Linked DNA regions of Mus musculus. The protein of the gene in region 6 interacts with the protein of the main gene of each other region in a pairwise test. Links are inferred from orthologs where the notes say so. Each region holds a gene or a part of one and is shown on either strand. Other genes may lie near its edges. The genes, in order: Spg21, Arnt2, Trim54, Ncs1, Glyctk, Dtx2 and Abhd16a.

Region 1 (4,241 bases), on a different chromosome or scaffold from region 6:
TTTTGAACAATTCAGTTAGCTTTGAGATACAGTACCACTATTTGAGATCCTTCTGCCTCACCTTTTTGAGAGCCGAGACATCACTATGCATTGGGGAAAATGTGTCTGGTGTTTGTCTAAGTTCTAGACTGGAACCTAAGACTCCTGAGCCATAGATCAGTGTTTGGTTGTTTTGTGGTTTTGTTTTTGTTTTTTTGAGTCATTGTTTTCGTCTGTGCTCTCTAGGCCTGGAGAGATGGTTTGGTGGTTAACAAACTTACTGCTCTTCCAGAGGACCAAAGCTGAGTTCCTAGTACCCAGTCAGGCTTGATCCATCTTAATCATCTGCAGTTCCAGCTCCAGGGGGTCCAAAGCTGGCCTCAGCAGGCATCAACACACACACGTACACACACACACACACACACGCACACACACACGTACAGGCACACGCACACACACACACGCACACGTACATGCACAGGCACAGGGACACGCACACACACACACACACACGTGGGGGCTGAGAGATTGCTCAGAGGTTAAGAATACATATTACTTTTACACCCGTGTTAGGCAACTCACAAACACTTGTAATGCCAGCTCTAGGATCCTCCTCTGCCCTCCTTATAAACTACACTCATGTGCACCATATATTCTCTCTCCCACAAACACACACACGATTAAAAGTAATAATAATAAAAAATATTTTTAAAAGTCCCTAAAACATTAGGATCTTGCTTTAGGAACCTTACAAATTTTCAAACAAGATTGACAGGTCACTCAATATTATTATGCATTATTTCAGAGCAAAGCTGTAAGCTAACTGAAAGGTGTTGTGGCATCTGCCACATCTCTCGTAAGAACAGTGACTAGACTGTGCCTGACAGAAGAGGGCAAACCAGCGCTGAGTATACCCCCTCAACATCAGCACAAAGCCATAAAAGGAGACAAGGCTTTGAAAGGAGGTCAGAGGACAGCGTCTATACAAAAGGTAAAAACAATTTTGCTGAGAAAGCATATGCAGTTGGGAGGCTGAAGGGGAATGGGACATGGGAGGCAGAGACTAAGGGAGGGTGATGATCCAAATTCTTTATATAGGTATCAAAATGTCCTAATTAAGCCATTGTAATGAACTGATATATACTAATGTTTTAAAAAGACTATGTCAAGGCCTATTCACCAAAGCTATGGACCAAAAGTGTCTCCCCACCAAAGCATGAAGACGCCTAAAAACCGAAGTCAGAAGCACATCCCCGGGGCCTACAGCCTAGATTTTTCACTTCCTCCTCCATGCTCCTGTCAGAAGTGACCAAGAACTGACCCTTATCCACCACCAGCCTCCACAGCCTCTAGGACACCGCAAATCTCAGAACAGGGCCTCCCTTGCCAGCCCCGTCGCCATAGTAACCACCAGAGCCCCGCCCCTTCCTCGCCATCTGGTCCCGCCTCCTCGGAACCCGGAAGCGGGAGGCGCGCCCGGGGAGCTCGCAGTACCAAAGCTGGGAGGCGGTGGCCTCTGGCTGCTCGGCCGCGCGCCCCCTCTGCCCGCTGCTCCCGCGGGGCTCCTGATCTGCGGCCGCCGGTCCAGTCCGCGCCCCGCCGACTCCATCCTCTGCGCCCAAATCGGGGCGAAGATCCGTCTAGGCTGGAAAGAAAGGGACGCGGGAGCGGCCACGGCAGGTGAGGGGCAGGCCCTGGAAAGCAAGAGTGTGGGTGTGTGGTGCGTGTAGGGTTGTAGGTGGGCGTGTATCGAGCATGCGTGACTTACGAGCAGAGTTCACGAGTGGGCAGGTCCTTGTGACCATGCACGTGATCCATATCTCTGTGTGTGCGTGTGGTGCGCTCTCGCGGGCGCCTGTGTGTGTCCGATTGTGCCTGTGGGTCTGTCTAAGGTTCAGCCTCGGTTCATTGCGGATTGTTGTTGTTTCTGAACTGGTGGAACCCAGGGCGGCCCCTATGGCGATTGGTGCCCAAAATCCTTAGTCAGACATCCTCATTTTCTTGAGCCACCCATCCTGGGGCAGAAATTCAGGAGCATTTTGGTTTCAGTCAACTTTTAAGGGCTGCGAGTAGAGTTGTTTTAAAGATCCTACCTCAGACTAGGTGTGAGGCCTGTGAAAGAGTCATGAAGAGTGTAGCAGGGCGAGAGAAACCCCCCCCCCCTTTTTTCTTCTTTTCCCAGGGAGTTAGAAGTTAGGGGCTGATGTTGTTTTGTCTCCATCTGCAGTGGTCTAGCTTCTCTTTTTGCAAGGATTCTGCACATTGGGAAGCCGTCTAATAGCTGTGTATGAGTTTTCAAAAAGATTTTACACCAGAACCTTGAAACGAGTGGTCAGAGAGAAAGATGTGCGGGCAGCGTCTCCTCTCATGATATTTAGAGAGAAGTGGATAGGTTCCTGGAGAAAGGATAAATCTTACCTGAAGAAATCTCCAAAAAGATGGCTATTTAATACATATAGGTGTGGTGAAGGATGAAGATGTGTAGTGAACAGCCCGCCGCAGGGCCTTAGGTGTAGTTCAGTGGTAAAAGCCCATGGTGAGCGTTCCCCAACACCGAGAACCATAGTTATGTCACCTAGAGGCTCTCTAGTTCTAATAACCTTTTTAATTGGTTGTATTAACAACCACAGATTGTCCCTATATAAGACACCTATACATTGAGATAAAGGACCAGCAATATGTGACTGACCGTGTGTTAAACATTTGTAGAGGCGATTTCCTCAGCTATGAACTGCAGGTTCTGTTGAAACTCTGAAGGCCAAGTACATGCTCTCTCACAACTAGCCAACTTACTGTCCAGCAACGCAAGGTCCAAGAAGAGCTGGGGAGCCTTAGCATCCTGGCCAGCGGGAGGAGGGGTTTCCTTGATAAAGCTTATCTCTGCCTCTTTCCTCACCAGCCTGAACAGGTGCTTCTGTTTTTTGTAAAGAACAGAGTCACGAGAAAGCAAATCTGTCCTGAACACACTGCCCATGTTTCTTTTCATCCTGACCAGTTTGGTCACAGTCTCAGCTAACTTTCTGGGCCACAGATTTTTTTTTTTTTTTTTTTTTTTTTTTTTTTTTAAGAATGTTTCTCTTGTGACTTGGAAAAGCATCCGGCTTAAGTGGATGAAAGAGAGCTAGAACAAACTTTCCTTTTCATACCCTTCACAGCTGCTTTAGCTTTGCAGCAGGTTTTTTTTTTTTTTTTTCTTCCTAGCCGTCAGCTGGTCCTACGCAACATTTGGCAACATTTGGTAACTGTCTCACCTTTCCTCACCACCCAACCAGCACAAGTGTTAGAATCACCTGTCCTTGCAAAAGTGTCCTCACAGCTGTGTAGGAACTCTTATGCATCAAGATTAGTTACAATGTGGTCAGTACTGAGCTGCTTGTGAGTTATACTGAAGACCCGGTAAGGACTACCCTTCGGCCACTGTGGGAAAGAAGTAGGTAGCTCATTTGTGTGCCTGCCTGTGTGCTTGTACCTAGTTTGGTTTGTGAGTGGCATCTTATTAAAACTGTGGATAATTTTTTTTTTTTTTGTAAGTTGGTCGATCCTAGAAGTAAACTTTAACAAGTTGATTGATGTTTTAGCTTTGTGTGTTTGAGACAGGGTCTTACTATTACTGCATAGCTCTGGCTGGCCTGGAACTCACTATGTAGACCAGGATGGCCTTGAACTCCCAGAGAGCTAGCTGTCCGCCCCTGAGGGCTAGGATTAAAGATGTGTGCCATCACACCTGGCTGTTTAGCCTGTCTTTAATATTCCCTCCTGCAGACATTCTAGAAAATGTTTCCAGTTGGAAGTGCACAGATGCTGTGGTGGTATTTCAAGTCTGTCCTGATATAAAATATTCCAGGATTAACTGTATATGCCGCTAGTTGCTTTTATTTTAAAGTAATAACTTAAAGGGAGACAGGAGAGTTAAATTAACTAAAATGTACTACATAAATGTATGAAGCTATCAAATAAAGCAGTTTTAAATGGTGAAAGATGTGCTAAAAATGGTTTAAATGGCTTAGTTTTTTTTTTTGTTTTTTAATTAGATGTTTTCTTTATTTACATTTTAAATGCTATCCCCTCTCCAAAAATCACCTATACCCTCCCCCTGCTCCCCAACCCACCCACTCCTACTTCCTGGCCCTGAAATTTCCCTATACTGGGGCATAGACTCTTCGAAAGACCTAGGTCCTCTCCTCCCATTGATGGCGGACTAGGCCATTCTCTGCTACATATGCAGCTAGAGACACGAGCTCTGGGGGTACTGGTTAGTTCAT
Region 2 (3,500 bases), on a different chromosome or scaffold from region 6:
CTAAGCCTGACCATTTTCAAACAAATGAATAAGTGATTTAATTCACATAGAACAAACACTAGATCTCTTCTCGGGTGCATGACATAAGAGTAGCTGGGGTGAATTCAGTCCAGAAACACATACTTTTAGAGTCTCTGCACCAATTTCAGAGGGGAAGATGAGAGAGCGATAAGACAACATTTGCTGAGCCCGAACCATTTGCCAGCATAGTGTGCAATATCTTTTATCATCACAAGTGCCCTGTGGCATTATGGCTTGTTGTAAATATTCATTATCCCCATGGCCTAATAAATGTAAAGAAAGCGGCCACGCATTAGTTCAGTTCCTCACGCTCATCTTCGCAGTGGCATAGCAGGATGTGTGGGTTCTTGCCATGTCCTCATCTGCATCTTTATCAACCCTCCATCCCAGGTGACCAGCTCTCCTGTGTGCATGGACATGAGCGGCATGTCAGTGCCCACAGAGTTCCTGTCACGGCACAACTCTGATGGGATTATCACGTTTGTGGACCCCAGATGCATCAGTGTGATTGGCTACCAGCCCCAGGTCAGTGGCTAGCCCTGAGCTCCTGATACTGGTGAAAGATGTAACTTCACTCAAAAGGTATTTATCTTGCTTGTTGAAGGTTCAGCACAATGACATCATAGAGAAATGACATAGGAGTCCAGATTCCTTGTTTAGCCAGGCTGACATCCTTCACAAGCCACACTGTTCATTGTAAGACAGCACCACTGTCACAAAGGATGGGAGTTAATATCAGTTTATTTTTATTACAAAGCTTCTGTATGTCTGACAACTGTCAAGATACCTAAGGGGTGTTTGCCTCAGGAAATCTTTTACTTAGGACATATTTTCAGATCTTTTCTCTGGATCCTTTCTGAAAAAGGATGGGAAACACAGAAAGGTATGAGCCACCCAGGAGAAGCCAAGAGACCACAACCACATATTATAGTACAAAAGCATGATTCATGTCCCAAGCCTGAGGATCTCTGCCTAGAGGAGACACCTAGGGGACAAGTGTGAGGAGTATGGAGATGATATCAAATCAGTATTGGTTTCTTAGGTATGATCATGTTTTGGTTTTGCAGTCTGATGAGACATTTATTATATTAATGCTGAAAGACTTCGTAGAGAAATATTATGGGATTTACAACTTATTGTTAAGAGATAAAGAGAGAAAAAGAGAGAGAGAGAGAGAGACTATCTCCCATCTGCATTTGTATGTGAACATCTATAAAGAAAATATTTTTTAAAAGAAAATAAAAAATATTAATAACATAATGATATAATTGAATCGATGCAATGATATGCAGGTATTTATTTCATGTATATCCTTTTACCTTTTCTATAGTTTCTTAAAATAAAAAGTCATTTAAAAATTACATACAAACATGTCTCTTTGTTCTAAGGAAAAGACTTTGGGAAGCTTTGGGATATGTTAACATGAGTTATTTTAATTGCATGTGTATTTTTATTTTATTTACTTAACTTTTATCTGTGCTTGAATCAGCCCCGTGTGTAGATTTTAGAACTGGTTCAGACAAAATTATTAGAGCCTTTCTATAATTCTGAAGCTAGATTCATGCAAACTATGACCTCTCAGATAGAATGAAGTGAAAGTCAATGACCCCTGACAGCCGTGCATTTCTGGACGGACCTATGCATCCTGCAGCAGCTCCCTGAAGTGTCTGGGTGCTCCTGAGGCATAGGAAGTGCCCTTTGCTGCTGAGTCGGCTCACTTCCAACACCGTGTGTTCACACAGGTTCTCATCACTGAGAATGCTTACATCCTTTGCTGTTTAAGACACTTCCCTGGAGCACAGTCAAAATTGCTCTTTGATGGTTTTTTTTTTTATTCTGCTCCTACTCAAGGTGAAACACACAAGTTTTAGACGAAGGCTGGATCTTTCAAATAGCACCTAGACTAGTGAAGGTCAATAATGAACAAACTTGAGGCAGGCACAGTTATTATAGCCTCATTCAGCCACTGGTTTCCATACTTAAACAGTTTCAGTTTTCGTAGGCAGCATGTCTGTCCTTGAGCTTTCTTTGGATGTTTTTAAAAATATGTTGATTGCAGTTTGCCTCTCCAAGGCAAACAGAAATAAAGTTGTATTTTAAAGCTGCTGATCTAGCGCCCAAGCAAAATTAGAAGTGAGGACGAGCCAGGGGAATTTAGAATGGATGCAAGGAAGCCAACTCCTCAGCAGACAGGAGGAGGAAGACCATTTTATGTTTAAGATTGCGATGGGCAGGCAAGAGGAGGTGGGCTCAAGGGGAGGGTATAAACACCACCTTTGTCTCCAGGGTAGGGGTAAGAGATAGAGAGTGGGCTTTGGGGTTACTAAAGCTGTCTGTCCCCTTTAGGACCTTCTGGGAAAGGATATTTTGGAATTTTGCCACCCTGAGGATCAGAGCCACCTACGGGAGAGCTTCCAACAGGTATTGTTCATGGCTGCTGCTGCTGCTGCTGCTGCTGCTGCTGCTGCTGCTGCTGTTGCTGCCTAGTGAGGTACCTGGGGTGAGGGAGGGCTAGAGGGATGAAGGCCTACTGTGAGCCACCAAGCTCAACTACAGTGTCAGCCAGCTATTCTGGGCAAGATTTCAAGCATGGGGGTAAGACCCATGAGGAATTGCTATGTGGCAGGAATGGAGGGCAGGCTCTGAGGCGTCTCCCCAAGCAGCAAGGCTAGAGAGGGTGACTTGGGAGAAGAGGCAGCTCCCAGAGGAGAGAGCAGCTGACAAGAGTTTAAAAGGAGAATACAGAAGAAATGAGAGAACATGCTAGGGGCATGGGCCTGTACCAGACACACTAGTGTGCCTACCAGAAGGAACCTCTGCAACTCCTAGGGCTGAAAAGGAGGTAGTGGCAGGCAGTGAGACCAGCCAGGTCAGGTCTGAGGCCTCCTGGGTCCTGCTATAAGGCCTCAGCTCTCCCCCAGGATCCATGAACGTGAGTAGCAATTCGTTTGAGCACATAAGGCAAATGATGCTTTGAAGAGCCACTTGGGAAGCCCAGGTATGCAAATAAATGAAAACAAGGGTAAGTCAGAAGACCTTGAAAATGAGCGATGGTCTCCAGAGCTGTGCAGGGCCTATGGGAATTAGATATGGGAAGTAACTTAAGGAGAGAATAATTCAGACAGGAACAGTGAGGTAGAGGCAGCCTGGCAGAATGGCCACCATAATAGTGCACACACTTTTGGACAGGCACCTGTCACAAGTCACTGTTGCCTCCTATGGTGAGCACAGGGGACAGGAGAGTCTTGAAGCAAAGGACAAAGTGTCACACTTTGGTGAGTTAGAGCTAATTAAGAATGAGGCCTGTGGACTCCTCAGGCCTGGAAGGGGGGTGGGGGGGGGAATTCTCCCCACCAGACTATGTTGTAATCCTGGAAATGGAGAAAATGGACATAAGAAAAGAGACCTGTGGGCCACTTTATAAGAGAGGAACCTGCTGCCATCCACTGGAATATGGGCTTAATTTATTACTTGTTTTC
Region 3 (3,500 bases), about 100 Mb from region 6:
TCTAAGACACACAGTGTAAAGAGCCTCAGCTAAGCCGCCAGTGCCACCATGTCCAGCCTTTCTTTCTCTCCTTTTCTTTTTTAGACAGGTCTCATTCATCCTGTGCTGCCCTCAAACTCCCTATGTAGCTGAGGATGATGTTAGACCTCCTATGGAGCAGACCCGCCTACCTCTACCTCCCAAGTGCGCCACTCTGCCCCTGGGGATCAAATCTAGGGCAGCCTCTACCACTTGAGCCACATCCCGAGCCTGGCTGCAATTCCTCTGTCCCTGTTCAGCACTTGAGTTGTGTGACTCTTCCCGGGACTAAAGAGAAGCACTCTCATGGCTCAGTATTTGGGAGACAGAGGCAGGTAGTTAGACAGAGTGTTTGAGGCCAGCCTGGACTACATAAGACCCTGTCTCAGGGAGAGAGAGAGGAGAGAGAGAGGAGAGAGAGAGAGAAAGAGAGAGAGAGAGGGAGAGAGAGAGAGAGAGAGAGCCATAAGCCCAATACTTGGGAGGTCAAGGTAGAAGGATCAGGAATTCAAGGTTATCTTCCATTCACGTGGAGTTTGAGACAAGATTATATTATCTTGCCAAACATACATGCACATGTACATATGCACCACCTTACATGTGCTCATAAGGGTCCAAGCTGGAGGACACTGGCTATACTGCCAGTCTCTTGCCTACAGTTAGCATTCCTGTCAAAGCCCCATGCTGGACTCCATTGAAGATAGTGATCAGGCCTGGGCCAAAGTGAGGCTCTGTGTGCGGGGACACTCAAGGAGCTGAGCTGAGGGATGAGGCCAAGGCAGGAAATCGTCTGTCAGAGTGTTGTCTGGGGACACCAAATGCAGAGAAGACCTAATGTTCCCGTGTCAGCTCACCACTTGCCTTCCCTCACACCTCCTTACACTTCTAGTGTCCTGTCACCTGTCTTCTCAGGCCTCTAATCCTCTGTGGCAATCCCGGGGCTCCACAACGGTGTCTTCAGGAGGACGTTTCCGATGCCCATCTTGTAGGCACGAGGTTGTCCTGGACAGGCATGGTGTCTATGGCCTGCAGCGGAACCTGCTAGTGGAGAACATCATTGACATCTACAAGCAGGAGTCCTCCCGGTAAGATAGATGCCTGGCTGCTGGCCTCTCTGGAGGGAAGAGCCTGCACCCTTGGGGATAGAGGGGCAGTTTAGGGTTTCCATTGCTATTGTGGAGCACTGTGTTTGCCTCACACTCCCACATCATAGACATTCCTGAAGTCAGGACAGGAACTCAAAGAGGGCAGGAACCCGGAGGCAGGAGCTGATGCAGAGACCATGGAAGAGTGCTGCTTACCGGCTTGCTCCTCATGGCTTGCTCAGCCTGCTTTCTTATAGAACCGAAGACCACCAGCCCAGGGATGGCCCTACCCACAGTGGGCTCCCCCATCAACATCCCCCATCAATGGCTAAATAAGAAAATGCCTCACAGGCTGTCTATAACCCCATCTTTTGGAGACATTTTTTTGATTGCAGTCCCTTCCTCTCAGATGATTTTAGTCTGTGTAAGCTGACATCCCCCCAGCAGAGGGAGGAGGACAACAAAGGGGAAAGAAGACCTAGGGAGGAGGGGAGGCCTCCAGGGAGGCCCGACTTTGCCTCTGGAAACACTGTTCAATCTTACTCCCTCCTCCTGGTCTGGGACCAAAGTCTACCTCAATGTTCTTGACCTCATCAGCTCCCATGACTTCCTGTCCTGCGTGACATCTTTGTCCCCTGGAATAGATTCTTCCTGGGTCCAGGTCTCCTTTGAGCATCGTTTCTTCCCCAAAGTGAGAACGCTGTGTAAGTTTCCGACCACTGGTCACAGTCTGGCTCCCTGACAGTCGCTGCTGCCTTGCCCTTGATCCTCAGGCCACTGCACGCCAAGGCTGAACAGCACCTCATGTGTGAGGAGCACGAGGACGAGAAGATCAACATCTACTGCCTGAGCTGCGAGGTGCCCACCTGCTCTCTCTGCAAGGTTTTCGGCGCCCACAAGGACTGTGAGGTGGCCCCTCTGCCCACCATTTACAAACGCCAGAAGGTATCTAGTCAGGGAGGGGTCGGGAAAAGGGTTTAGGACTGGGCAGTTCTCACTGTACTTAGGTAAGGGGTGGTCAGGGCAAATCCCCAGCTCTGCTTTCTACTCTGCACACGACCCTGAGGCAGTTACCTGACCTCCCTGACCCTGACTGCCTTCTCTGGTCAGGCAAGGTGAAGACAATGGTTATGGCCACAGCATCAGCTAGTTAATATCTAACGGGAGCCACTTCAGGACGGTATCCACCAAAGGACCAGATACGCTCAAGAGTGTGAAATTACACAGCTAACTTCCAGATATGCTGAGATTTTTAAGATCACACCAGTTGGCCTTTGAGAGGAGAAGGGCATCCTAGGAAGGTGGGGATGGGGGGTGGTGGTGGGAGGTGGGAAGGGCAGGTCCAGAGAGCCCCTGCAGGCAGGAGAGATAACATTCATCACATGACCAATGCTGGCTCAGTACAGGCTAGAGATAGAGGCCATGCCGCAAAACCTGCAAAACATGTGTAGGTAGAGGTGCATTTAAGACTCCCCAAACCTCAGCTTGTGTTGAAGTCCCAAGATATCAAAGAAGTCGTTTATATCACCTGGTTCTTGTCAGAAACAAATGCAGATGTTAAGCTGGAAGAAGATGCCTTCAATGCAGGCCCTTAGATTAAGATCAACACAACAATCACAATGGAAGATACACAGAGAAATGGACCACATGAGTGCAATTAGCAGAAACCCTTCAAACCCTCAGGGAATTGAGATGTTGGAATTATTAAAGAACAGAAACTTGCAATGTACACGATGTTTTTAAGAAGATAGAATAATGTCAGGCATGGTTGAGCACTCTGTAAGTCTTAGCACTCAGGATGCTGGGTGCCCAGCCTAGACTACATAAAGAATTCTAAGCCAGCCTGGGCTGTATAAGGAAAGACCCTGTTTTAAAGAAAAATAAAGTGGGGCTGGAGAGCTCAGTGGTTAAGAGCACTGTCTGCTCTTCAGAAGGTCCTGAGTTCAAATCCCAGCAACCACATGGTGGCTCACAACCATCTGTAATGGGATCTGATGCTCTCTTCTGGTGTGTCTGAAGACAGCTACAGTGTACTCATATACATAAAACAAATAAATCTTAAAAAATAAAAAAATAGAAAAAAAGATGAAATAAAACAACAGCATCATCATCATCATCAACAACAACAAAAGGTAGAATTGGAGATATAGCACACTTGCCTAGCACAAAGCCCCGGATAGATCCCCAGAACTGAAAAAAAACAAAAGTGCAAAATGACCATGTAGCAGCAGTGGCCTGTTGTGGTGGCGAACACTGTAATCTCAGCTACTAGGGAGGCCAAGGAAAGAGGATAACAGATTCAAAGCCAGTGTGGATAACATGAAAAGGCCCGATCGAAGAAAAACCAAAGCAAAGCAAGCTGAACATAGATCTGACAAAGAACTGAGTGGAAACTAA
Region 4 (4,043 bases), on a different chromosome or scaffold from region 6:
TGTTGGTTTGTGTGTAGATGTATTCTACCCTTTCGATTGCAGCTGAAGGCCAGAGGTCAATGCTGGATGTTACAGCTTTCCACCTTCCTTTGCTTTTAAAGGTTTGTTTTATTTTTAATTATGTGCAAGGAGCTTGGAGCAGTTGTGTGTGTGAATACAGAACCCATAGAGACCAGAGACTGTGGCTCACATTGAGCTGGAGTTACAGGCAGTTGTGAGCCACACATGTGGGGGCTGGCAATTGAACTCTGGTCTTTAAGGAAGAGCAGTGCTCATTCCTAACCGCTAAGCCATCTCTCCAGCTCCTCCGCCTTATTCTTTGGGCTGGTGTCTCTCAATGAACCCAGAGCTGGCCATTTCACTGGACTGGCTGGCCAGTGAGCTCCCAGAATCCCTCTATGTCTGCCTTCCCCGTGCTGGAGTTATAAGCATGAACCACAGTATCCAGCTTACATAGGTGTGTGCTGGGGACCTGACTCGGGTCCTCATGCTTGCACAAAGCATCTCTCCGGCCTCATAATTCACACTGTCAAGAACTCAACTCCAGAGCTCAGCCCAGACCTAAGAGAAGAGCAAGCCAAGCAGCAGGGATAGGAGATGGTGACATTTGGGAATCCTTCCTGGATGATGCGTCCCTTAACTCCCTACTCAGTATTTCCCTGGAAGAGAGGGGAGAGAGAGAGAGAAAGAGAGAGAGAGAGCGCAGCTGTGGACCAACCACATAGACTTGCCTGGAGGGAGCTGGTGTTCACAGGGAGATAAGAGAGAAGCAAGTGAGTCCCCCAGCCCTAAGTGAGGCCTTGGATGAGGGGGAAGTGCCCAGACTGCCTCAATCCCTGAACAAAACTGCTCCACATCACAAAAGCCCTTTAAAAATAGCTCAGCGGAACTTCACCAGGCCAGTGCCTGACAAGAGTTCTGCTGGCCCCATTCTTCCCAAGTTAATGGCCAGCCCTTCAGAGATGGGGCTGAACGAAAGGTCTTTCAAATCCAGCACTGGGCCAGGGTAGGAAAGAGAGGCACAGAGGGCTCTTGGCATAAGCCAGGGATGCCAGCTCACATCTCCCAGCCTTGCCTTCCTCTCTATGAGCAGCTGGAGTGCCCAGAACAGGACAAGCTGTTGATGTACAGCTGTGCTAAGGACACAGCCGATGGTGCATGACACACTCAGTAAGCAGGACCCTGACTTCACAGGGCTCATTGGTGGCCCCCAGCCTCACCATCATGGAGACAGCATGGTACACCACATGCCATGGTTCCTGGAGAAGTCCATGGAGCCCTCTACCCTCCCCACACCCTGGGGTCCTGGCCCGTTCAGGGAGGGAGGGTGTCCCACCAATAGCCTACCTGCTAATGGCTGTGAGCCACACCTTCGAGGGTCCAGTTAACCTCACAAACAGCAACAAGCTAGAAAAAGCTACCCACCCAATCTGGAAAGAGAGAGTAGGCAGCCTGGGCTGGGAAGGATAGTTCTCCTGGATGTGACCTCCAAGGTGTCCAACTCCTCAGGACAGGGGCCAGGAGAGCCCAGGCAGTAAAGCCCCCTTTGTTCTAAGTCTGGGAGAGTGAGGAGCATGGGGCTAAGGCACTAGGTTGACCAAGACCTGCAAACGTGCTCAGAAGACCGATACCGGGGGTGGGGGTGGGGGTGAGAGCAGAGACCATGCACTGCACCAGAGCCTCCATCTACACCGAGCTGTCAGTTAACTGCCTGTCTTTCCGGGTGATGCAGAGCGCTCAGCCAAAGCTTCCCAGGACCCACTTCCAGGGCCACCCCTGGAGAGGCTGCGAGGAGGGGGGACACCTGGTGTGGAGGCACTAAAGATGCAGAGGCAGATCTGTGAAGTTGGGCAAGTGGAGAGCCACGCCTGGGACTGATCTAGTGGACCGTGGAGTGGGACAGACCTTCCTTCGCTCGTCAGCTCGGGCCATGTAAACCCATTTCCTGGTGCGGTAGAGACAGGAGAAGGGAAGGGGGGATGGAGAATACAGCCCAACCGTGCGACATCTAAGAGGGCGCCCAGGACCCTTGGCCCTCTACCGTCACTACCTGAGCGTTCTACCAGTCTCGCCAGCCCTCTTCCTCCCAACACAGTCACACTTGCCAGGGAGGGGGCGACAGGCCAACCTCGCAAGAGGCAGGAGCCGCAGCAGCATCATTAAGCATGAATCACCCACCCACCCTGCTCCAAGCAGGAGAGCCACACAACGCCCGGGCGCCCCCTCCTGGGACCACTGCCCCCCGCCCCGGCACAGCCCGGGTCCTTCGGACAGGAGGGGAGCAGCGGGTGGGCTGCGGATGCCCTGAGGACCCAGAGTGGTCCCTGGAGCACGCTGACAGGCGACACCCAGCCATGGCCGGGGGCGGGGGCGCGGATAGAACAATGGGCCAGGTGCGGGGCAGGGGCGCGGCCGGGAAGGGCGGAGGGAAGGTCGCGGCTCGATGGGGAATCGGGGATCTGGGATCGGGGCTCACTCACAGTAGGTTTTTCTGGTCAGCTCCTCCACAACTTCAGGCTTCAACTTGCTGTTGGATTTCCCCATGCTCGGCGGCCGCGGCCCCCGCTCCCCGGGCCGGACCCGCTCGGGGCGCCCAGCGGGAGCGGTTGGGTCGGGCCGGGGTGCGCGGAGGCCGGCAGGCCGGGCTGGGCCGGGCCGGGGCCGCGCCTTTGTCTGGCCGTGCCCGCGCGTCCCGTGCGCGGGGCTCCGGCGTGCTGCGCGACCGCGGCTGACGGTTCAAGGGGCCTCGGGGACCCGGCGAGGGCCAGGCCTTGGCGGTGCAAGCGGCCACGGCGAGGAGTTGCGCGGGGCTGAGAGCCGCAGCCGCCGGGGCTCGGTTGCCGCGGTCGTCCCTGGTTACTGGGCTGCGTAGCACATGCTCGCTACTGCTGCGCCGCCGCCGCCCCTACGCTCCCCGCCTCCCGCCCGCACCGGCGCGCCAGGGGTGGACTCGGAGCCGCCACTCATCGCCCGGCGCCACCTCCCGCCCAGCTCCGACAGGCGCGAGCTCCGCGTTGAGGCACCCCCTCTCCTGTTGGCTCTCCGGGGACGCTGGGAGGTCGCCGCACCGCCCCCTCCGCCGATCCATTCCCCCCTCTCCGCAGCGGCGTGGGCAGGGAGGGCCCGGAAAATCGGACGTGAACGAGGCCAAATCCCTGCCCGGCGCAATTCATTCATTCCACTTAGATGTGTTGGGCGCTGGGGACCTGGCGGCCAAGAGGACAGACGCGATCCCAGACCTCTCCAGGAGCATCCTGATGTGCTGGCTGGCATGGGTTTCGGTGGGAACACTTTTGCCTGGCCTTGAGGGAAGTGACTTCAGATTGAGAGAGGAATGGGGTATCAACCTGGAAGGGGTCTGGCCTGGGAGGGAGAGCAGCCTCTACACCCGGGGCTCCAGGCAAGGCTGGGAATGATCTGAGGCCAGGCAGAAGGGCCAGAGCTTCTGGAGACCAGCCTGGCAAGCCGCTTTCCCCAAAGACCTGGCCTCTGTCCCCGGTGCCCAGGAGTACTTGCAGTTCAAACCTTCTCTGTTGTGGGGCTTGCTTGAAGTGGCCAGAGGGAGCAGAGCCTGTTGGTGGGGCTCCATGCCTGGAAGCCTGCAGCTGGGGAAGGACTCCAGGAAAAGGATGGCCTGCTCTCCCCTCCTCCCAAAATGTCATCGTAATTGAGACCTCTCCTGACTTTCTGCCCAACTCTGTCTCCTTAACAGCTCAGGAAAACTTGGACCTCTTAGTCCATTGGCGCTTGCTTCTTCCAAAGAATGAGCCTCAGGGGGAGGGGAGCAGAAATATGTCTTGCTCTCAGAAGGCCCTGAGGGCCAGTGGCAACTTCTGTGAGCCAGTCTTAGTAGCAGAGGCCAGGGAGCCAGCCCAGCTAAACAGGGAAGTGGGTGGGGAGGCAGTAGGATCCCTGGTTCACAACTGGCTTAGACAACATTAGGAGGAAGAGTTCTCAGGGAAAGGCATGAAAATAGATCGGGTAGGGGAGGAATGACCCATGCCAGGAACCAGAGCCCTGGAAAGACCATGGCAAGATGAAGC
Region 5 (4,269 bases), on a different chromosome or scaffold from region 6:
CCCTTGAATTCTAATAGGGACCTTCTAGGCTTTTGCCCTTCTGGGAAAGAGATACAAAATTCACCTAGGACTGAGCTTTATGTTTTGGATGCTAAGATGTGTTTAGTACCAAGCCCGGGGAATCCCATACATGAAAACTGAACATGTTTGCAGGCGTCCCGCGGCAGTGCCCTGTGTATTCCTTTTTACAAACAGTAGTTTCTGGGAAAGCTAGCTGGGAACTACAAGGCTAAATGGCGGAGGTTTGGCAGGCGCTACGTTGTTTAGGAGTGGGATAAACTGTTACCTGGAGTTTTCTCTGTCAGCTTGTACAGAGAATCAGAAAGCCCTAGGTGTCAGGAAAATACGAGCGTCAGTCTCCCAAGCACTATGGAGAACTGGATGACTTTATGCATGCTAGGGAAGGTCTCTCCCACAGGACTACACTTTCAAGTTCCCTTGAAAAGTGAGAGTTAGGCTTCATTGTGTCCCACATCTTGCAAATGAGCTCAGTGTGAGAAAAGATATACTAATACACGCTTTAAAAAAAGCTAGAACCCCATCCCTAGACTCCGCCCTCTTCCACCCATGCTTACGGATACAGTTGTCTTTCTACCTTTTTAGGGGCTTGAATGTAGCTCAGTGGTAGAGCGCATGCTCGCTCGTTACATGGACAGCCCGGGCACAGTCTTCAGTACCCTCCTGTCCCTAAACTTAGATATCTTTTTGCAGCTGAGTCTTTTATTGTTCCTGTATAGTTACGCTGTAGCTTCCCGACCTTTACCCCAAGACCTTTCTGTCCTTCACTCTGCCCAGTGGAGAAAATGATTGTTTGGGCTTCATTACTGGAACCCGGCCTTTGCCTGCTCTAGCACTGGGCTGTTTTTGTTGTGAAGGGTGTAACTCAGGACTTGTTTTTTGCTATCATGGAGCCAGAAAGGGATGTTCCTGGCAAGGCTGATCATGACCAGCTGTATGGGGACAAGGGTGTCTGGTCTTGTCCTATAGATTGAGCCCCATAGCACATGTCCTTTTGCTTATAACCTGGGGACTTGCTGAAGGTCTGACCTTGAGTGAGATTTGTGGTTACTCTTGATTCGTGCCTGGACCACTTGCTGAACTAGCCTGAGTCCTGAGCTTCCTTAGGCTGTGTGCACTGGTAAATCTGCAGCCTTTCCACATGGACCCAGCTTTGCCAGACTGGTTGTATGAGCTAACAGAGCAGGCTAGAGGTCAATGGACTCCGGGTCAGTTGGCTAGACAACCAATAGCCTTTTTTTTTTTTTTTCTTGGCAGTAGAAGTGGTAAAGGAACGTCTAAGGCATAAATGCCAGAAAGGGGGCACTGCCGTGGTGTGAGGGCTTTGGAAGTACAGGATGTGGAAGAAGAATGGCCCAGGGGCCTGCTGGTAGGAACGGCGTCCTTCATGAATGATTAACTTCTAGGCAAAGGAGGTGACCTAGGAGGAAGGTCCACTTAACAGGAACTTTGGACTTGGAGCAGAGTGTCCAGAAGACTGGTGTGTGGTCTACAGAAGAGGACGTGGCTGGGCATCAGGGCTGGGCTTTCAGGGCTGGTGTAAGATCAGGTTTGCTGCAGGCTTCATGACTTCTCCAGGTTTCATTTCAGGTTATGGAGTCCGCCAGTCCTGAGCCCTCGGAGGGGTGGCCATGATGGATGGTGGGGTTCTGTCCGTGGCCTCACTCCTTCTCCTCCCTCTCTAGGCAGCTATGGACACGAGGCTGTGCTGAGAGAAGCGGGGCATGGCTGCGGCCCTACAGGTCTTGCCCTGTCTCCTCCGAGCCCCATCCCGTCCACTCCTCTGGGGGCCCCCAGTGGCCCGGATGACCAGTGGTATGGCTTTGGCAGAACAGGCACGGCAGCTGTTTGATAGTGCAGTGGGTGCTGTGCAGCCAGGCCCCATGCTGCAGAGGACACTGTCCCTGGATCCTAGTGGCAGACAGCTGAAGGTGCGGGACCGGACTTTCCAGCTGCGGGAAAACCTCTACCTAGTGGGCTTCGGCAAGGCCGTACTGGGCATGGCAGCTGCTGCCGAGGAGCTGCTGGCTCAGCATCTTGTGCAGGGTGTGATCAGCGTACCCAAGGGGATCCGAGCCGCTATGGAACATGCTGGAAAGAAGTAAGAGTCTATGGGCGCAGGGGGACGCCCTCTACTGTCCTTTGGAAGAACACCTCCCTTCCTCTTTGATCTCCCTATCTCCTGGGTCTGGCCTGGTTTCTAAATGGGTTATCAGTGGGCCGCTTTCACCTGTACAGCTGAGAAGTCAGGTCGGAGGAGAGGAGCCCACCCCCATCCCTTCTCCCTTCTCAGAGAGATGCTGCTGAAGCCACACAGCCGCATCCAGGTGTTCGAGGGCGCCGAGGACAACTTACCGGATCGGGATGCACTCCGGGCCGCGCTGACCATCCAGCAGCTGGCAGAGGGGCTCACTGCAGATGACCTGCTGCTGGTGCTCATCTCAGGTGTGGGACCAGCCGACAGGGGTGCCCCGAGTACCATATGGTCACAGGGTGAAGTCAGGACCATGGCAGACAGTGAGGAACCTGGAGGGTACCTAGTGAGTGGTGTCAGGTTGGTCACCTCTCCTCAGCTGGAAGTTCACCCTGTTGAACATCTGTAATGGTGAAGGCACAGCTGGGTACTAACACTGACACACATCAGAACCTTTGGAAGACATTGCTGTCTGCAGCGGTGTCATTCGTGCTCCTGAAGCTGAGTTTCCAGACCCCATGGATCTCTCTTCTTGCTTATTTGCTGTTTTTTCTTGCTCTTTCTTAGTTAAATTTAAAAACAAAAATTTTTGGGGGGTATTGGGGATAGAGTTCAGGGCTTCACACAGGCTAGGCAAGCACTTTGCTAGCAAGCTTCTCCTGGGATCTGGTATACCCCTACTAGGGGACAACTTCACTCTGTGTCCACAAGGGGGCACTGTAACCCCACCTTCTTAGAGGACCTTCCTTATGGCTTGCCTGGTTCTCTGGGTCGGGCTGTCTCCTCTCCCTGACACTCTCACTGACTTTAGGTGGGGGCTCAGCCCTGCTGCCTGCTCCTATCCCACCTGTCACACTGGAGGAGAAACAGATGCTCACCAAGCTGCTGGCAGCCCGAGGAGCCACGATCCAGGAGCTGAACACCATCCGCAAGGCCCTGTCGCAGCTGAAGGGTGGAGGGCTGGCTCAGGCTGCCTATCCTGCTCAGGTGCACTAATCACTTCTTCAGTAGGCCCTGGGTTCCCAACACGTGACAGGGAGATGAGAGCTTAAGCCAACATATGAGTTGGCAGGGGCCTGGCCTGGAAAGTCCTGGGAGGAAGCCTAGAGAGAGTAAGAGGGAGGCTTTCTGGTTAGGTGTTCTGCCAGCCCACCTGAAAGTGGCAAGATGTGGGTAGATGTGGGCAAGGAAGCATACCAGATGCTGTATACCCAGGCCCAGTTTGTCCTTAAGGGCCCCGGAACACGGAGGAGGCAAGACTGAACCTTATTTTGTGGCCTTTGTCTAGGTGATAAGCCTCATCTTGTCAGATGTGATTGGGGACCCTTTGGAAGTGATTGCCAGTGGCCCTACGGTGGCCAGCACCCACAGTGTGCAAGACTGCCTGCATATTCTCAACCACTATGGCCTCCGTGCTGCTCTTCCCCGCTCTGTGAAGACTGTGCTCTCCCGAGCTGACTCTGACCCCCATGGACCACACACCTGTGGCCACGTCCTCAATGTGATCATCGGCTCTAACTCTCTGGCGCTGGCTGAGGCTCAGAGGCAAGCCGAGGTGCTGGGCTACCATGCCATGGTGTTGAGCACAGCCATGCAGGGTGATGTAAAAAGAGTGGCTCGGTTCTACGGGCTGCTAGCCCGGGTGGCTGCAGCCCACCTCACTCCATCCTTGGCTGAGCGTCCCTTGGAGGAGGAGGCGGAACTCCATCAGCTGGCAGCTGAGCTCCAGCTCCCGGACCTGCAGCTGGAGGAGGCTCTGGAAGCGGTGGTAAAGGCTAAAGGGCCGGTCTGCCTCCTGGCTGGTGGTGAGCCCACGGTGCAGCTGCAGGGATCTGGCAAGGGCGGTCGGAACCAAGAACTGGCCTTGCACGTGGGAGTGGAGCTGGGAAGGCAGCCACTGGGACCTATTGATGTGCTATTTTTGAGTGGAGGCACTGATGGGCAGGATGGGCCTACAAAGGTGGCCGGGGCCTGGGTCATGTCTGATCTCATCAGCCAGGCTTCTGCTGAGAGCCTGGACATCGCCACCTCCCTCGCCAATAACGACTCATACACTT
Region 6 (3,500 bases):
ATAGTCCCTTAGCTGTTCATGTTTTTGTGTGGTAAAGATGTGAGTGTGTGCCTGTTTGTGTATGCAGAGGTCAGAGGAGGACTCATCACTTTCTATCTTACTGCTGAGACAGGGACTCTTACTGAACTTGAAGTTTGCCATTTTGGCTAGGCTGGGTGGCCAGCAAGCTTTTGAGATTCACCTATTTGTTTTATAGCACTGGGATTACAGATAGCAAGCATGCCCAGCTTTTCTGTGGGTTCTGTAGGTCTAAACTTGGATCCTTAGATCCTAGAGCAAACTGTCTATCTCCCCAGCCTAGGAACCTGTGTGTAAGTCCTACCTAAGCTACTGTCTCAAGAGTGTCTTGGAACCCTTGTTCTGGGCTACAGAACACCTGTGAGGATGCTGTAGTAGGGTGTACTCTCACAAATAAGTCCTGAATTGGGAACTGTAGGGCTCTTACACAAACATACAGAGTCATTGTGGCCTTGTCCACAAAGATTTGGGGTGATTTAGATACACTGAGTGCCAGGGCATGGCTCAGCAGAGAGGAGCTGGGGTGTGTGGCATGGGTAGGTCTTCTGTGTGTGCATCCCCACATGTGAAGGAAGGAGGGAAAGACGGAAAACACTGAGCAGAAAGTAGTAGAATCAGAAGGAAATGACTGGGCAGATCAGCACCCCACTTTCACTGTGCTCCCATCTGGGATGTTTGCTGAAGTGGAGGTAAGGAACAGGAATGGCTTTTAAGATTTTTTCAATTATTCTTTGTAAATTTCACACTATGTGTGCCTCAATCCCACTCATCTCCCTGTTCTTTCACATCATCTGACCTTGCAACATCCCACCAACATAAACAATAAAAAATAAACAAAAATTATCTCATCGTGGAAGCTGTGGTGTGTCACAGTGTGTCTGTCCCACAGTCTATCCCTCTTGTCCACATATCTTTACTTCAGTTCATTGCTATGAGTCCTTGGTTTGGTTCGAGTCTTCTGGCTTCTACTACAGTACCAATGCTGGCTCTTTACTGGGACTCCTCACAGCTAACCTGCAGCCTTGGATCTGCAGGACCTGTCCCTTCACATGCTCAGCAGTTCATAGATGGGGTAGTTGTTGGGCTGGGCCAGCTCAAAGCCCTGGATCTGGGCCTAGGTAGTAGCTGAGGTGGTCAGCCTGCCAGCTCTCCCACACCTATACCATCAGGGTGAACTCTATAGCACTGCCCTGGCTAGATAATCCAATGGGGAAGCAAGCAAGGGCCAGGGCCAGGGCCAGCTCTCCCTCACTCATGTCACCAGGATCAGCTCTACTGTGGCGCCTGGGGCTCTGGTGAGGTGTGGGCTGCTTTCCCAAATGCTGTAGCTGGTGAGGGGCGGGGTCAGCTCTCACACCCCGGGGCTGGCTCACCCTCTCCAAGAATGACTTAATTATCCTGTCTGCTAGAACAAGAGATAGGGATCAAGAGTTGATCCAAGGTACCCTGAAGGTGGTAGAGAAAAGCTGGTATTGAGGCAGCCAGGCAGTGTTTGCAAACTCCTTTAATCTCTGCACTTGGGAGGCAGAGGCAGGTGAATCTCTGAGTTGGAAACTAGCCTGGTCTACAGAGTGAGTTCCAGGACAGCCAGGGATACACAGAGAATCCCTGTCTCAAAAGAACAAAAGAAAAGGTTTTCTTTAGCTGCCTGACAAGGTCCCCAATGTGTGTGAGTAAATACTGTGTCTTTTTCTAGGTCCCCCAGAGGTGCTGGGCAATGAACCTGAACCTGCAACCCAGCGTGGTGTGAAGTCTTCAGAGAAAGCAGAAGATGGCCATGGCCCCAAGCTCGTCTCTGCCGCAGGTGTACCCTAGCCACGTGGTGGTGGCTGTGTGGGAATGGCAGGATGGGCTTGGCATTTGGCACCCCTACAGTGCCACTGTCTGCTCCTTCATTGAGCAGCATTTTGTCCGGCAGAGGGGCCAGCATTTTGGACTGGGAAGCCTGGCCCACAGCATCCCCTTAGGCCAAGCTGACCCCTCACTGGCCCCTTACATCATCGACCTCCCCAGCTGGACTCAGTTTCGCCAGAACACTGGTAAGACCCTTCTGCCTCTAGAGGGTGAGCCCTTGGTTTGTGACTTGGTCCTTCGATGCCCTTTGTCTTGTGAGCCGCTGTACCCTACAGTGCCAGGCTTTGGGCTGGGTAGTTAGGCTTTAGGTTATGGTTGTGACTGACACACCCTCCATTACTGTTCTTTACATGAACACATCTGATCGGAGCCTGCTCTAATTAGTAATAGCACCCAGGGCTGGGGAGATAGCTCAGTTGGCAGAGTGCTTACCTCTCAAGCAGGAAGCCCTGGGCAGGAAGCCCTGGGTTCTAGCCCCAGCACTGCATAAAATCCTCGATGAGCATGTACCTGTAATTGTAGCATTCTGGAGATGGGGGCTGAAGGGTCAGGAGTTCAAGGCTTGAATCATCCTTGACGATTGCATAGTGAGTTCTAGGTAAGGCTGGGATGCATTAAATCTTGTCTTAAAAGAAGCCAGCTATTACCTGGAGGAATGAACCATGTAGTAGTAACAGATGTATTTGGGAGTACATGTGGAGGCTCTCTTGGCTCCATCATCTTCAGCAGACTGGCTGGCATGCAGTATGTATGCCATACACTAGTGTATGCTGTGGTAGTTTTGAGAATATTCTGCTTGCTTGTAATTCCAGTACTTGGGAGGCTAAGGATGGAGTATTTATAAAACTTTGAGTCTAAATTGTCTCAAAGGCAGAGAAAAAGAAAGCCTTATCAAGTATGAGCCACGTTTGACAAAGCTGCTAACCTCTTTTGCTATAGAGGGTGGGCCCTTGCTTTGTGACTTAGACCTTTGACGTCCTTTGACTTGTGAGCCTCTTTTTTTTTTTTTTGTTTTGTTTTTGTTTTTTGAGACAGGGTTTCTCTGTATAGCCCTGGCTGTCCTGGAACTCACTCTGTAGACCAGGCTGGCCTCGAACTCAGAAATTCACCTGCCTCCCGAGTGCTGGGATTAAAGGCGTGTGCCACCATGCCCCGCTTGCCTTGTGAGCCTCTTTACCCTGCAGTGAAAGCTGGAAAAAATAGGATCTGCTAGTCCTGAGTCAGATAGCCATTTGACTGTCTACCAACAGTGATGATGGTGAATTGTTGGGGGGAAAGAACTGAGGCTGGGGACGTAGCTCAGTGGTAGAGCCCATACCTAGAATATGTGAGGTCCCTGGGGTCCATGTCCAGCAACACAGACATGTACAAATATACATAAACACACCAGACGTGCCATACATATACCACAGACACATCCACCCACGTAGGTACAAATACAGGCATGTACAGACACATACACAGACACAAATATACGTACTCAAACATGACATGGACACATCACTGACAAACACATATGACAGATGGATACACACATGCAACATAGACACATGTACTCACACAGATACACACACAAACACAAATGCACAGACATGGCATGGGCAGACACACATGCAGACATAGATACT
Region 7 (4,197 bases), on a different chromosome or scaffold from region 6:
CAGGGCCAGGGAGATGGTTCAGCGGGTGCAGTATTGGCCATGCAAGCGAGAGGACCTGAGTTCTGATCTTGAGAACCTGTATAGAGCCTGGCATGGTGACCATGAGAGCTGTAGTCCTAGCTCTCCTGTGGGAGGGAGGCGGGAGACGCCTTGGGCACCCCCTGCCAGCTGGCGTATACAGCACTGCCACAGGCAACAAAGACCCCGCCTTGAAGTCGGAGGCAAGGGGACACAGGGGAGGAGTCCTTCTCACCGCCACACACGTGCTGTGGATCACGTTTAAGGTCTTGGCTACATGGTGAGTTTGCAGTTTAAAGATGAGAATATCATAGCCGACTGGGGATGTCACTGTAGCTAGCGTATGCAGCCTGATGGCAGTTCATCACCAAAGTGAAGTCAGGTATAGAGAGTTGCCTAGTGTTCGGGAAGCTCACCTAAAGCCAGGCATGGTGCACTCTGTCATCCCTGGGCTGAGTTCAAGGCCTGACCAGGATAAACAGGACCCTGTCCTACAGTAACAAAGAGTAGATGGGATGGTGATGAAGGAGGCCCAGGCAAGATTCTGAGTTCCAGTCCACCCTGAACTACCTAGTGAGACCCTGCCTCAAGGAAACAGAAATAGCATTGACACATGCAGGACCAGCCTGTGGGTTATCTCAGGTGCTCTCACAGCTGTGAGGAGCAGCGCTGCAGCCTGAGCTGAGGAGCCCAGCTCTTAAGGCAGCACTGGCCTGGGAAAGCACTGCACAGGCGGCCAGGGGGCTGGGTTCTGCCGCCCGCCTGCCTGCCCGCCCGCCCACTTGCCACCATCCCCATGCTTTGGCTTGAACACCATGGAGGGCGGTGAGGAGAAAAATGTTTGCACACCTAGGAGAGTCCCAGACACATCCTATCAGAGCTCTCCTGGTGGCATCTCAGGGGAAGTGGCCTCCGTGCTGGTGACTTAGACTCAGCCTCCATAGTCTCCTGAGGCCCTGTGCATAGCACCTGCAGTCCCTTTGTCCCGCCCAGCACTCTCCCACCCCTCCTCTCTCTGCTCCCCAGGTCATCTGCTGTGAGGGGAATGCAGGATTCTATGAGGTGGGCTGTGTCTCCACACCCCTAGAAGGTAGGCTCGTGGTTCACACCTCTTATCTCTATCCTTTGGACCGGAATGTGTCTCCTCCCATGCTGACCTCCCTCCCGTTCATCAGGGTGAGGTCCAGGTCTCTCCCTTGTGAGGGAAGGTCCACTCCCGCCCTGTTAACCTTGCATTCATTCCTGGGCTGCTTGTCCTCCTGCCCCGCTGCACGGTCGCATGATTCCCCCCCACTCCTCCCTGACTCCCTCCCTCCTCCATGTGTTACAGCTGGCTATTCTGTCCTGGGCTGGAATCATCCAGGCTTTGCAGGAAGCACGGTGAGACCCTCTCTGAAGACCTGTCCTTTTCCAGAATCCTGTGCATCTTCCTCTGCTCAGCCATGGGAAGAAGGAACCTGGTGCCCATTTCTGCAGGGCCTTCCACATGCCTGTGACCTGGGTGCTGGGGAGCTGCAGCCCCTCCTCCCATGGCAGTCAGGGACACAATGGGTCACATGATCTCTGTGTGTTACAGGGTGGCTGCAAGAAGGGTCCACACTAGGTGAGCTGTCTTCTGGCTGACCCCTCCTGCTTCTGCCCGTCTCCCTGCAGGGGGTACCATTCCCACAGAACGAGGCCAATGCCATGGATGTGGTGGTTCAGTTTGCCATCCACCGCCTGGGCTTCCAGCCCCAGGACATTGTCATCTACGCCTGGTCCATTGGAGGCTTCACTGGTATCTGCCTCCCCTACTCGTCCCTGCGCAGTAGAGATGGGCACAGGCACGGGTGGCTCCCAAGGAGGGGGTGGATGGAGGCTTTTAGAGAGAGAGGTTGGAAGTTGATAAGACCTACATGAAGGGACCCAATCCTATTTCTTGTTCTGCTTCTAGCCACGTGGGCAGCCATGTCCTACCCAGACATCAGTGCTGTTATCCTGGACGCCTCCTTCGATGACTTGGTGCCCCTGGCCTTGAAGGTCATGCCGGACAGCTGGCGTGAGTGCAGCTCCCTTGCCGGTCCTTCCCGTCAGGGTGGCAGCACAGGCCTCTTCTGACTGGGTGCTGTCACTGTGTGGGTGGAGATAGGCCACCCCGTTGCCGAGAAACAGGGCTTCCCTGCCCAGTGGACAGTGGGACCTTTAGGTTAGGCAAGCTCTTCATCTCTGCGTCCTTCACGGTGTCCCACTCTAGGAGCCCTGGTCACCAGGACGGTGAGGCAGCATCTCAACCTCAACAACTCGGAGCAGCTGTGCAGGTGAGGGTGGCCACCGTGCCCGTCAGCAAGCGGCCACTACCCGAGCTGGCCCAACCCTTCCCGGGGCTAGGAGACCCTGAATTGGCTCACTCATGATGTGGCAGTGAAGGGTTAAGCCTGGCTCCCAGGGCCAGACTGAGCCCGTGCCCTTAAATCTGTTACTCCTGCCTCAGCTGTGGCCTGGCTCTCTGAGCTCTCCCTCCCTGCTGCTCTGTTCTGAAGGTTCCAGGGCCCCGTGCTGCTGGTCCGGAGAACCAAGGACGAGATCATCACCACCACGTGAGTACCCGGGCTCTGCCTTCTCTCCCACCTTTGTCACCATGGACACAGCTTCCCAACCAGGGTTAACTCTTGTCGCCCCCAGGGTCCCTGAGGACATCATGTCCAACAGAGGCAATGACCTCCTGCTGAAGCTCCTGCAGTTCCGGTGAGCTCTGTGGGAATACACACCTCAGTGCTCACACCAGTGAGGCGGAAGGATGAGGTGGGGGCTGAGGCGTGAACTGGTTCCATTCTGTCCCACCCTGTGCTCCTCCCAAGGTACCCTCGAGTGATGGTGGAGGAGGGGCTCAGAGCTGTGAGGCAGTGGCTGGAGGCCTCTTCCCAGCTAGAGGAAGGTGAGGTATCTAGAGGCTGGTGGGCAGGGGCCTGGCAAGGAGAGCTTGCTGAGGACACTCCTCTGTTCCCATCAGCCTCCATTTACAGTCGCTGGGAGGTGGAGGAGGACTGGTGTGTGTCTGTGCTTCGCTCCTACCAGGCAGAGCATGGGCCTGATTTCCCCTGGAGTGTGGGTAAGGATGGTGTGGAGGGCTGGGAGGAGAGGAAGGACGTCCCAGGCAGGGATTTGAGGGCCTCTTCTCCCTGTGCAGGGGAGGACATGAGTGCAGATGGACGGAGGCAGCTGGCGCTGTTCCTGGTGAGCTCAGGAGCTGGGTGAGGGGCAGGGCAGGGGCAGGGCCTGCACAGCGGGGCTCATACAGAGCTCATGCAGGGATCCTAGAGTGGGTGGATGCGTGGCTTCTGAGGGGAAGCTGCCCTGTTCTGACCTGACCTGCCTTTCTCAGGCCCGGAAGCATCTACACAACTTTGAGGCCACACACTGCACTCCACTCCCGGCCCAGCACTTCCAGATGCCCTGGCACCTCTAGAACCACGTGTAGACTCTTCTGGAAGGACAAGATAGGAGGAGACACGAGGGGATACTTTTGTGACTCTCTTCATGTTGCTGTTTATAGTCTGGCCCGTGGGGACATCCCCTCTGGCCAACAGTCCTCCTGCACGTTTCCCTCATCTATGTGGAAGCACTTAGCTCCCCTCATACACACCTGCATTAAATGAATGATTTATTCCTAATAATTAATAAAAAGGTATTTTTTCTACAATCTGGCTGCTTATGAGATGTTCCAGATGTCCAGACAGCTAGTGGCTTGGGCGGGGAGAGCAGAAGCCCTGGAGGGTGAGCTTGGGAGACCCTGCTCAGGCCAGCTTAACTTCCCTGCCTCAGCTATCGTGCACTTTGGGCCCACAGTCCAGACCCTTCGTGTGCTGTGCCCAGTGTTCACACAGCCACCATGGCTCTCACTGCCCACCCGGGCCTTCCTGCGGGCGGCTGCCTGGGTGGTGGTCAGAATGCCCCTCCTTTATAACTGTACTTTGTGGTGTACGGTTCTGCCTCCTCAGCTTCTCTCCTGAAGGTGCTTCCCCATCCCCACCCCCATTTTCCTTGCTTAGCTCTGCTTATCTCCACAGCAAACCGACCCCATGCCTGTCCTTGGCATGACACCAAGTCTGTCCATATACCATGTTTGCAAGTCAGCACACAGCCAGTGGGGACCAAGGGCCAGGCCCCAAGCACTCCTGTCCTCCCAGCGCAGAGCCTGAG

The links.
Region 1: the proteins of Dtx2 (region 6) and Spg21 interact in binary tests that used the Homo sapiens proteins (3 or more experiments, as listed by UniProt). The two-hybrid records come from large-scale screens. The link is inferred for Mus musculus from reciprocal best matches to the Homo sapiens genes DTX2 and SPG21.
Region 2: the proteins of Dtx2 (region 6) and Arnt2 interact in binary tests that used the Homo sapiens proteins (3 or more experiments, as listed by UniProt). The link is inferred for Mus musculus from reciprocal best matches to the Homo sapiens genes DTX2 and ARNT2.
Region 3: the proteins of Dtx2 (region 6) and Trim54 interact in binary tests that used the Homo sapiens proteins (3 or more experiments, as listed by UniProt). The two-hybrid records come from large-scale screens. The link is inferred for Mus musculus from reciprocal best matches to the Homo sapiens genes DTX2 and TRIM54.
Region 4: the proteins of Dtx2 (region 6) and Ncs1 interact in binary tests that used the Homo sapiens proteins (3 or more experiments, as listed by UniProt). The two-hybrid records come from large-scale screens. The link is inferred for Mus musculus from reciprocal best matches to the Homo sapiens genes DTX2 and NCS1.
Region 5: the proteins of Dtx2 (region 6) and Glyctk interact in binary tests that used the Homo sapiens proteins (3 or more experiments, as listed by UniProt). The two-hybrid records come from large-scale screens. The link is inferred for Mus musculus from reciprocal best matches to the Homo sapiens genes DTX2 and GLYCTK.
Region 7: the proteins of Dtx2 (region 6) and Abhd16a interact in binary tests that used the Homo sapiens proteins (3 or more experiments, as listed by UniProt). The two-hybrid records come from large-scale screens. The link is inferred for Mus musculus from reciprocal best matches to the Homo sapiens genes DTX2 and ABHD16A.

The regions. Positions count from the first base shown.
Region 1 is NC_000075.6:65,459,496-65,463,736, forward strand, and holds the start of Spg21 (maspardin), read left to right. Parts: upstream 1-1,441; 5' UTR 1,442-1,659; intron 1,660-3,205; exon of another isoform or gene 3,206-3,409; intron 3,410-4,241. UniProt on the Homo sapiens protein: May play a role as a negative regulatory factor in CD4-dependent T-cell activation.
Region 2 is NC_000073.6:84,281,039-84,284,538, reverse strand, and holds part of Arnt2 (aryl hydrocarbon receptor nuclear translocator 2), read left to right. Parts: intron 1-411; coding exon 412-546; intron 547-2,367; coding exon 2,368-2,442; intron 2,443-3,500. UniProt on the Homo sapiens protein: Transcription factor that plays a role in the development of the hypothalamo-pituitary axis, postnatal brain growth, and visual and renal function. Specifically recognizes the xenobiotic response element (XRE).
Region 3 is NC_000071.6:31,130,112-31,133,611, forward strand, and holds part of Trim54 (tripartite motif-containing protein 54), read left to right. Parts: intron 1-930; coding exon 931-1,103; intron 1,104-1,876; coding exon 1,877-2,048; intron 2,049-3,500. UniProt on the Homo sapiens protein: May bind and stabilize microtubules during myotubes formation.
Region 4 is NC_000068.7:31,244,680-31,248,722, reverse strand, and holds the start of Ncs1 (neuronal calcium sensor 1), read right to left. Parts: upstream 2,801-4,043; 5' UTR 2,545-2,800; coding exon 2,481-2,544; intron 1-2,480. UniProt on the Homo sapiens protein: Neuronal calcium sensor, regulator of G protein-coupled receptor phosphorylation in a calcium dependent manner. Directly regulates GRK1 (RHOK), but not GRK2 to GRK5. Can substitute for calmodulin. Stimulates PI4KB kinase activity.
Region 5 is NC_000075.6:106,155,339-106,159,607, reverse strand, and holds the start of Glyctk (glycerate kinase), read left to right. Parts: upstream 1-1,469; 5' UTR 1,470-1,742; coding exon 1,743-2,119; intron 2,120-2,311; coding exon 2,312-2,463; exon of another isoform or gene 2,464-2,615; intron 2,616-3,023; coding exon 3,024-3,199; exon of another isoform or gene 3,200-3,500; coding exon 3,501-4,269.
Region 6 is NC_000071.6:136,008,300-136,011,799, forward strand, and holds part of Dtx2 (probable E3 ubiquitin-protein ligase DTX2), read left to right. Parts: intron 1-1,714; 5' UTR 1,715-1,789; coding exon 1,790-2,057; intron 2,058-3,500. UniProt on the Homo sapiens protein: Regulator of Notch signaling, a signaling pathway involved in cell-cell communications that regulates a broad spectrum of cell-fate determinations.
Region 7 is NC_000083.6:35,099,291-35,103,487, forward strand, and holds the end of Abhd16a (phosphatidylserine lipase ABHD16A), read left to right. Parts: intron 1-1,044; coding exon 1,045-1,108; intron 1,109-1,348; coding exon 1,349-1,398; intron 1,399-1,594; exon of another isoform or gene 1,595-1,671; coding exon 1,672-1,795; intron 1,796-1,951; coding exon 1,952-2,056; intron 2,057-2,251; coding exon 2,252-2,315; intron 2,316-2,488; exon of another isoform or gene 2,489-2,537; coding exon 2,538-2,594; intron 2,595-2,679; coding exon 2,680-2,742; intron 2,743-2,855; coding exon 2,856-2,932; intron 2,933-3,007; coding exon 3,008-3,106; intron 3,107-3,184; coding exon 3,185-3,231; intron 3,232-3,379; coding exon 3,380-3,463; 3' UTR 3,464-3,697; downstream 3,698-4,197. UniProt on the Homo sapiens protein: Phosphatidylserine (PS) lipase that mediates the hydrolysis of phosphatidylserine to generate lysophosphatidylserine (LPS). LPS constitutes a class of signaling lipids that regulates immunological and neurological processes.